Linked DNA regions of Ovis aries. The protein of the gene in region 2 binds, or shares a complex with, the protein of the main gene of each other region. Links are inferred from orthologs where the notes say so. Each region holds a gene or a part of one and is shown on either strand. Other genes may lie near its edges.

Region 1 (4,151 bases), on a different chromosome or scaffold from region 2:
GCTGAGTAACTTTCGAAGTTCTTCAATCACCTGTTACAGATGATGAGGGAGGGGGGAACTGGCCTCAGTGAAAGTCCAAGCCCCTGTCCAAGCAGGTTCTAGCCCCTTCCCCAGCTTCCCACTGGGCTCAAAGCTATGGTGGCAACCACCAGGGGGACAGATGGGTTAGGGGAGAGTGAGGGTGGGGGGCCTGGGATAGCCCAGGGCTCACCTTCTCAATCTCAGGCACAGTCCTCGAGCAGTAGATGAGTTTAGTCACCTCCAGGGGATACGCCTGCCGACAACCATGGGCTCAGCCTCGGCCCCCATCCAGCCTCCTCCTGCTGCCCCCTCCTCGGGCCCAGGGAGTCACTTACCCGCTGGTACGCCATGATCAGGGCCAACAGGGACACTGTCTTCCCAGTGCCTGAGGGCATCTCCAGGACTCCATGACCCTGTTTGTGGTGGGCAGGAGGGACACGACACAGGCGCTCAAAACTCCAGGGACACAAACTCTGGGACCCTTCCCCCAGAATGAAACCAGCTTGGAATAACAGGACACAACATAGCAGTTAGAAATCTAGGCCTCAGGGGCAGTGGATTTGAACCCCACTTTTGCCACTCTGGAATCTCCCTGGTGGCTCAGACGGTAAAGCGTCTGCCTGCCGTGCGGGAGACCCAGGTTCAATCCCTGGGTTGGGAAGATCCGCTGGAGAAGGAAATGGCAACCCACTCCAGTAATGTTGTGTGGAAAATTCCATGGACTGAGGAGCCTGGTGGGCTACAGTCCATGGGGTCGCAAAGAGTCGGACACGACTGAGCAACTTCACTTTCACTTTGCCACTCTGGTTGAGTGGTCTTAGGCAAGACCTTTCAACCTCTCTGAGGACTCTGTCTCTAAAAATTGGCCTACAGTGGTGAAGACTGTGAGCCTTCACTACCGAGGGCCCAGGTTCAAACCCTGGTCAGGGAACTATGATCATGCAAGCCATGCAGTGCAGCAAAAAAAAAAAAAAAAAAGGGGGTTGGGGGGGTCTAAGAAGCTCTTCCTCATCGCAGGACTATGACGATTAGGGACAAACTGCAGGCTAAATATTTAGTACAATATCTGATTTGTATGTATGCTAAGTCCCTTCAGTCATGTCCCTTTGCGACCCCATGACTATAGGACTATAGCCTGTAAGGCTCCTCTGTCCACAGGGTTCTCCAGGCAAGAATACTGGAGTGGGTTGCCATGCCCTTCTCCAGAGGATCTTCCCAACCCAGGAATCTCCTGCATTGCAGGCAGATTCTTTACCGTCTGCACTACCAGGGAAGTTCTATCTGATATGTAGGAGCCCTCTCTTTTAACCTAGCACAGCACTTAACTCTGTGCCTGGCACTATTACTAAGTGTCTTACATCAGAGTATCTCAGCCTCAACTCTCTTGACATTTGGAGGCCGGATACCATATGATTGTGGGGTCTGTCCCCCACTGCAGCAGCAAATGTGGCCTCTACATACTAGACACCAGTTGCACCCCTCCTCCACTAGTACTGACAACTGGGAATGTCTCCACACTTTGCTGAATGTCCTCCGGGGGTCAAAATGGTCCCCAGTTGAGAACTTCTGCCTTACTTAGTGAATTAACCCCTGCAGCCCTCACTAATATGAAAGTGAAAGTAGTGAAAGTGTTAGTCACTCAGTCCTGTCCAAGTCTTTGCAACCCCATGGACTGTAACCTTCCAAGCTCCTCTGCCCATGGAATTCTCCAGGCAAGAATACTGGAGTGGGTTGCCTTTCTCTTCTCCAGGGGATCTTCCCCACCCAGGGATTGAATCCCGGCCTCTTGCATTGCAGGTAGATTCTTTACCATCTGAGCCACCTGGGAAGCCCCATATTAAGCTGAGGTAGGTACTATTACTATGGCTATTCACCAAGGTGAAGACTGCAGAGGGGAGATTAAGTGATGATTTACCCAAGGACACACTACCGTGGGTAGCCAATTCCTGAGTCTCTATATGCCTAAGCCTACCACGGAGCAGTTCAGCCTTTGATAAAGGTCAGCTGATGCTATTTTTAATTACTATTATTTGAGATACCAAGTTTGGCAGCGGGGGCTATCACAAGGACCTCAGATTTCTAAACTCTAGACCAGAGGTCCCCAGCCTCCAGGATCTAATACCTGATGATATGAGGCCTAATGATCGAATGTCTGATAGACCCGATGTAATAATAATAGAAATAAAATGCACAAAAATGAGTTTGAATCCCTCCGTCCGCAAATTGACTTCTCCAAAACTGGTCTTTGGTGCCAAAAAGGTTGGGGACCGCTGCAATCTCAGTCTTAAAGGCGCGTGTTGATCAGCCCCACCTCTCAGGGGGGCAGCGGCGGGCCCGGCCCACCCACCTTGGCATCCAGCGTGCGTTTCAGCTCCAGCATGTACGAGAACTGCTCCGGGTAGATGTAGTCGTAGGGGAAGTAGACCAGCAGCCCGTCCACGTTGAGCCTGGCGGCGGGGGCTGCCGGATCAGTCCCCCGTCCCCTCAGCCCCCTCTCCAGCCCCCAGACTCCCCTGCCGCCGGGCCGAGAGCGGTTCCGGCCGGCTGGCCCGTCCCGCACATCCCCCCGGTTCTCTAGCAGCCTCCAGGTCCCTTCGGCATTCCCTCGCTGGCCCTCCCCGCAGCTATCCCCACCCCAGCGCGGCAGCCTCCCTTCGCTCCGCCGGGACCCGAGGCCTGACCACGCGTCCCCGCATCTTCCGGACCCCCACTCCCGCTCGCGAGCCGCGAACCCGAGACCCCCCCTCTCACTTCATGGCGCCGGTCGCGGTTTGGAGCGGCGTCGGCCCGCCTCCCTTATGAATATTCAGGAAAGACAGGCTCCTCAGGGTATCCTCGAGGCGCTGCCCCACCTTCTTCGCGACGCCATTGGCTGAACCTGCCCGTCACTCCCCATTGAAGTGACGTCAGGAGACAGTGCGCGTGCGCACGGCAATTGCGGGAGGCGGGTTCCGGGGTAGGTGTGGCCGGAGGCATCGAGGAGGATCGCCGAGTACCGAGAAGGAAACGCTGATGGAAGAGAACTGAGAGAATCGATCTCATTCGCTGGGATTCGATCTTCCTGCGTCTGTCCAGATTACCTGAGCAGGGGATGCATACTCAATTTTATTCTATTATATTCTTGGTTTTAAGAGGTACACCTCCCTTTCTCCCCAACTTCAATAAAGTAACCAAGTCTACAATGGGAGAACCCAGAGAGGGTCAGAGCCTGGGGGATCATAGAGGGCTTCCTGGGAATCTTCGCAACCCAGGGGCCGAATCTAGGTCTCCCGCATTGCAGGCGGATTCTTTACCATCTGAGCCACCAGGGATGCCCTGTGCTGTACATAGTCGCTCAGTCGTATCGGACTCTTCGCGACTCCGTGCACTGTAACCCACCAGGCTCCTCTGTCCATGGGATTCTGCAGGCAGGAGCTCCCAATTATCATGTCCCGTGTATTTGCGCTTCCTGATTTCCGATGCACGCAGTAGTAACCGCAGTTTGCAGCAAGCAGAAGCGAGCAGAAGCTGGGAACAAGAGCTTAGTTCCTGATCAGGAACTTAACCTCTGGATCTCAGAGGCCAGAGGCTAGGACCTGGATCCCCAGTCGTTGCCTGCCGCGTTAAGAAAAAATTCGGGGGAGGAGGCAGAAGGTAAAGAGAAAAGTAAAAAGTTTATTGGAAAAGAAGAATACATGTGGAAAGACGCAGGGGCAAACTCTGGGGTTACACCTTTAGGAAGTTTAAATCTGTTGTAAGGGGACAGTTTTCCAGATCTTGGTCTTCCTTCAGGCCAGTCATCTTGCTTTGTCCTCCCTCCCTCCCCTGAGGTGCCCACTCAACCCTCAGCCAAGATGAATCTGGAGGTGAAGTCTTCTGGGACCAGCAAGCCGCATTATGGCCTGGAATTACCGCCCCACCCCCCACCCCGACTTTTGACACACCGGGAGCCTTTCTGCCGTCGTGGTGTGTCTCCCATGTCCCAGAAAGGGTGAGGGAGGGGAGCGGAGAGCCCTTAATCCTTTACTCAAACAGTGTTTTGCCCCTCTTTGTCCTTGCCATGATTATTATCTTAAGGTGTTTACAAGAGACAAAGACAGGCTATTTACCCTGTATCTGTTGTTACTTCCATTTCAGAGGGCAAACAGGAG
Region 2 (3,662 bases):
GCCTAAGCTGGACCGCGATGAGCTGCCCCCCACCCCCGCCCCCGCCAGACAGCTCTCTAGTTGGTTTTCAGGGCAACGCATTTAACGCCTGGGCACTGAGAGCCCATTCAGAACAGATGCCCAGGAGAGCTGCCTCAGGGCACCTCCCACCTGCTGTGGGGTCTCAGGGGTGGAGTGGAGCTGCCTGCCTGCTGTGGGTGGAGCCTGGAAGCTTCTGGCGGCAGCAACCTCAGGATGCGCAGCTGTGACCACAGGGAGCACTCCACTCAGAGCGCAGAAAGTCTGGAGCATTAGATACCGGGGGAGGAAGTGGGGACCTCTGTTCTCGGCTGAAGGGCACCCAGAACAGCGCTGTGGGACGCCGGTGCCCCCACCCCAAGCACTCGTGACATCTGTGTCTTCTGTGGGGCCAAGCGCCCACAGAGGAAGGGAGCCCCGTGCTGAGCACTCCCGTATGGAAGGCCCACCCTCCTCCTGGGCCGTGCGGGCCTCGGGCACCAGGTAGAACCCCAGGAACCGGCGGGGCAGCCCACAAACCCAGACCAACTGTTAGGACTTCCTGGCAGTCCTCAGAAACATTTACTAGACAGTTCTTTCCAGGGAGGAAGACCCACGCCAACAGAGCCGTGGGCGGGCGTGGCTTCCGGCGCCCCACACCCCAGGGGAACAAGCCATGGGTGAGACGCCCCCTGCGGCATCGCGGGCTCACTTCTCCAGGGGAGCGTAGTTGAGCAGCTTCTCGATCAGGTCCACGTGGGCAAGCAGCATGCGGCGGCAGCAGTAGCGCTTCAGGCCCAGCGCGTCCAGGGCGTCCCTGCAGGTGGGGAGAGATCTGGCTGCAGCCTGCTCCTCCCGGCAGACAGAGGGCCTCGCCCGGGGGGAGCAGCCCCCCTCACCTCCCAGAGACACGGCCCCAGTCACCCTCAAAGCCTCCTGTGTGTGGGCACCAGCGTGGCACCCATAAAAGGGGCGGCCGCTTGGGCAGCCCTGGCCTGGGGCATCTCGGGGAGGAGTCTGGGGCAGGCTGCCAGCATTCACTCGCACTGTGGTCATTCCAGCAGCCTCCTCGAAGCCTGGTGCAGATACTACGGCCGTCCGTTGCTTCCCTATCCACCCAACACAGCTACACGGAGAACCTCACCTGCTACCACACTCCAGGTCCCAGAGGTTCACACTTTGATAAGGATGGGGCTGTCCACACAAGGACCAAAGTCAGACTCTTGTCTAGGGTAAACTCAGACAAGTAAGGCGGTAACTGCAGTGCCAAGGGGCAAACACGGAAAAGGGACCCCACAAAAGCCTGATGATGACGGCTATGTGATCAGAAGCTTGTCCTATGTACTAAAAAAGCCCGTGAGTCTGCAAGACACGGTTTGTTGTTCAGCCGCTCGGTCGTGTCCGTGACGCCATGGACTGCAGCTCGCTGAGCTCATGTTCTCCTCTATCTCCCAGAGTTTGCTTGAACTCCTGTCCATTGAGCTGCTGATGCTACCTAACCGCGTCCTCCTCTGCCGCTCCTTTCTCCTTTCGCCTTCCATCTTGCCCAGCATCAGTGTCTTTGAGGACACGGGGTGGGCCTAATAGCAGGGAGAACTTAGGGAGCTGACGGACAGAGGTGGCCAGGGGCCTATCTGCGGTGGAGGCGTGGAGCCAGAATACTCGAGTCCCCAGACACCAGCGCTTGACAACTAGCTCCCCTCGTCTGCCTGAACTGGGGGGTGGGAGACGCTTTCCTGAGAGCAGGTCTGGAGAACAGGGCTGGCAAAGGCTCCGGGAATAAAAGCCTTGCCGGCGTCACCTGGGATCTGATGAACGTCCCTTGCTCCTGACCTGGAGACCAAGACCCCTGACTGCCGCCTCAAGACCCCAACCCCTCAAGCCTGGATCCTCGACAGCCGCCCGAGACGCCGACGCCGCAGGCTAGGCCCCCTTGACCCTGCCCCGGGCCCCGCAGGCCGGGGCCCCCGTGTCCTCGCTCCGAGCCCCGCAGGCTGGGAAACCCTCCCCTTAGGCCGGGCGCCCCTGTCCTCGCCCCGGGCCCCGCAGGCCGGGCCCCCGTCCCGCCGCCCCGGGCCCCGCAGGCTGGGAAACCCTCCCCTTAGGCCGGGCGCCCCTGTCCTCGCCCCGGGCCGCGCAGGCTGGGAAACCCTCCCCGCCCCGGGCCCCGCAGGCCGGCGGCCGGGAGCGCGCCCCTCACCCCTCGGTGTACTCGGCCTGCAGCAGGCCCAGGTAGGCCTCCCACTTGTTGCCGACGATCTTGCCACACGTGAAGCAGCGAACGGGGATGATCATGGCGGCGGCGCGGGAGCTAGAAGCTTCGCGGCCCGGCGGCCCGACGCCCGGATCCCCCGGCGCTTCCGCCCCGGCGTGCCCATGGCGCGCCCATGGCGCGGGGGTGCCGGCCCGGCCCGCCCCGTGCACCTCCCCGCGGCCCCGGCGCCGCCGGCATCCGCCTCCCGCCGCGACGGCGGCTCCTCCGGCGGGCGCGGGCCCGGGGGCCGGGGCCCGGGGGCCGGGGCCGGGGGCGGGGCCCGGCGGGAGCCCCCCGCCCGCGCCTTGGTACGTCCCGGCCTACGGCGTCCGCGCGGGGCCGCAAGGGCTCGGCGGCGGCGTTCGCGTTCCTCGTGCCCGGCCGACCGACTCCGCGCGGCGGGCGCGAGGCAGGTACAGCGCCCCTGCCGGGCCGCGGGCGGAGTGCGGCCGGGCCCGCGCGAACTGGGGCCCCGAGCGCAGAGCGCGAGCCGCGTTTCAGCAACAAGTTGCGAGCCGGGTCTGGGGCGCGGAGAGCGGCCGGAGGGGCCGGGCAGGGGGCGGCCTCTCCGCCTGGGGCCGCTGCCCGCGGGCACTCGGGGGTCTCTGCGCAGAGTCCGAGGGACCCTCGAGGTCGCCGCCTGGCCGGGTCGCCTGCACAGTAACGGTCCCGGCCCGGTAGCTGCCCGTATCCCTGCAGGCGGGCGGCGCGGGGCGACCCAGCCGGTGGGGGCTCCGGCCGTCGCCGCGGTCAGCTTGGCCCCCCCTCCTGCCTTCTTCCCGGGGGAGGCGCTGGCGGCCCAGGCTCCAGTCCGCGCTCGGCAGGGGCGGGCGCCAGTGACCCGGGAGCGCCGGCTCTGAGGGTCGGGAGGGCACTCGGGGTGTCTTTTGAGCTGAGACTTAAAGAGGGAGCCGGACAGACACCCGTCCGTGCGGGACAGAAGCTGTGGGAGCTGGAGGCGGTGGGGGTTTAAAGGGAGCGGGGGGGGGGCGGGGGCGGGGGCTGTGTCTCGGGAAGTGGCGAGAGGTGAGCCCCCTGATCCTGTGACTGGCGGCTGGGAGAGGGCTGTGTGCACTGAGAAGCAAGGAAGGCTCCCTGGAGGAGGCGAGCTTTGGGCTGAGGAGGGTGGGCTAGGCACCTAGGCAGGGTCTCCTCATATTTGCTGGCCTGGGGCGTCAGGGTCTCTGGTTGGGGTGGGGGGTGGGGGTGGGCCCACCATGTTGGGTCCCAGGCTTTAGCTCAGAGTCCACCTGGGGTGGGTGGTGGACTCTGACTGTAAGTCAAGGGGCTGGGAGTGGAGGTCCCAGGGAGGCTGGCCAGCACTTCTGCGTCTGGAGTTTGGCTCTGGCCACCCTCCCCAGCGGGGTTCGCCGTCCCCCACCCTGCCACGTGCGGAGCCACGAGCAGAAGC

Evidence for each region.
Region 1: POLR2L (region 2) and ERCC2 share a complex: the UniProt entries of both Homo sapiens proteins name them as parts of the TBP-based Pol II pre-initiation complex. The link is inferred for Ovis aries from reciprocal best matches to the Homo sapiens genes POLR2L and ERCC2.

The regions. Positions count from the first base shown.
Region 1 is NC_056067.1:52,781,775-52,785,925, forward strand, and holds the start of ERCC2 (general transcription and DNA repair factor IIH helicase subunit XPD), read right to left. Parts: upstream 2,811-4,151; 5' UTR 2,778-2,810; coding exon 2,773-2,777; intron 2,469-2,772; coding exon 2,369-2,468; intron 683-2,368; exon of another isoform or gene 611-682; intron 435-610; coding exon 357-434; intron 275-356; coding exon 212-274; intron 31-211; coding exon 1-30. UniProt on the Homo sapiens protein: ATP-dependent 5'-3' DNA helicase. Component of the general transcription and DNA repair factor IIH (TFIIH) core complex, not absolutely essential for minimal transcription in vitro.
Region 2 is NC_056074.1:46,914,982-46,918,643, reverse strand, and holds POLR2L (DNA-directed RNA polymerases I, II, and III subunit RPABC5), read right to left. Parts: upstream 2,327-3,662; 5' UTR 2,293-2,326; coding exon 2,198-2,292; intron 815-2,197; coding exon 706-814; 3' UTR 557-705; downstream 1-556. UniProt on the Homo sapiens protein: DNA-dependent RNA polymerase catalyzes the transcription of DNA into RNA using the four ribonucleoside triphosphates as substrates.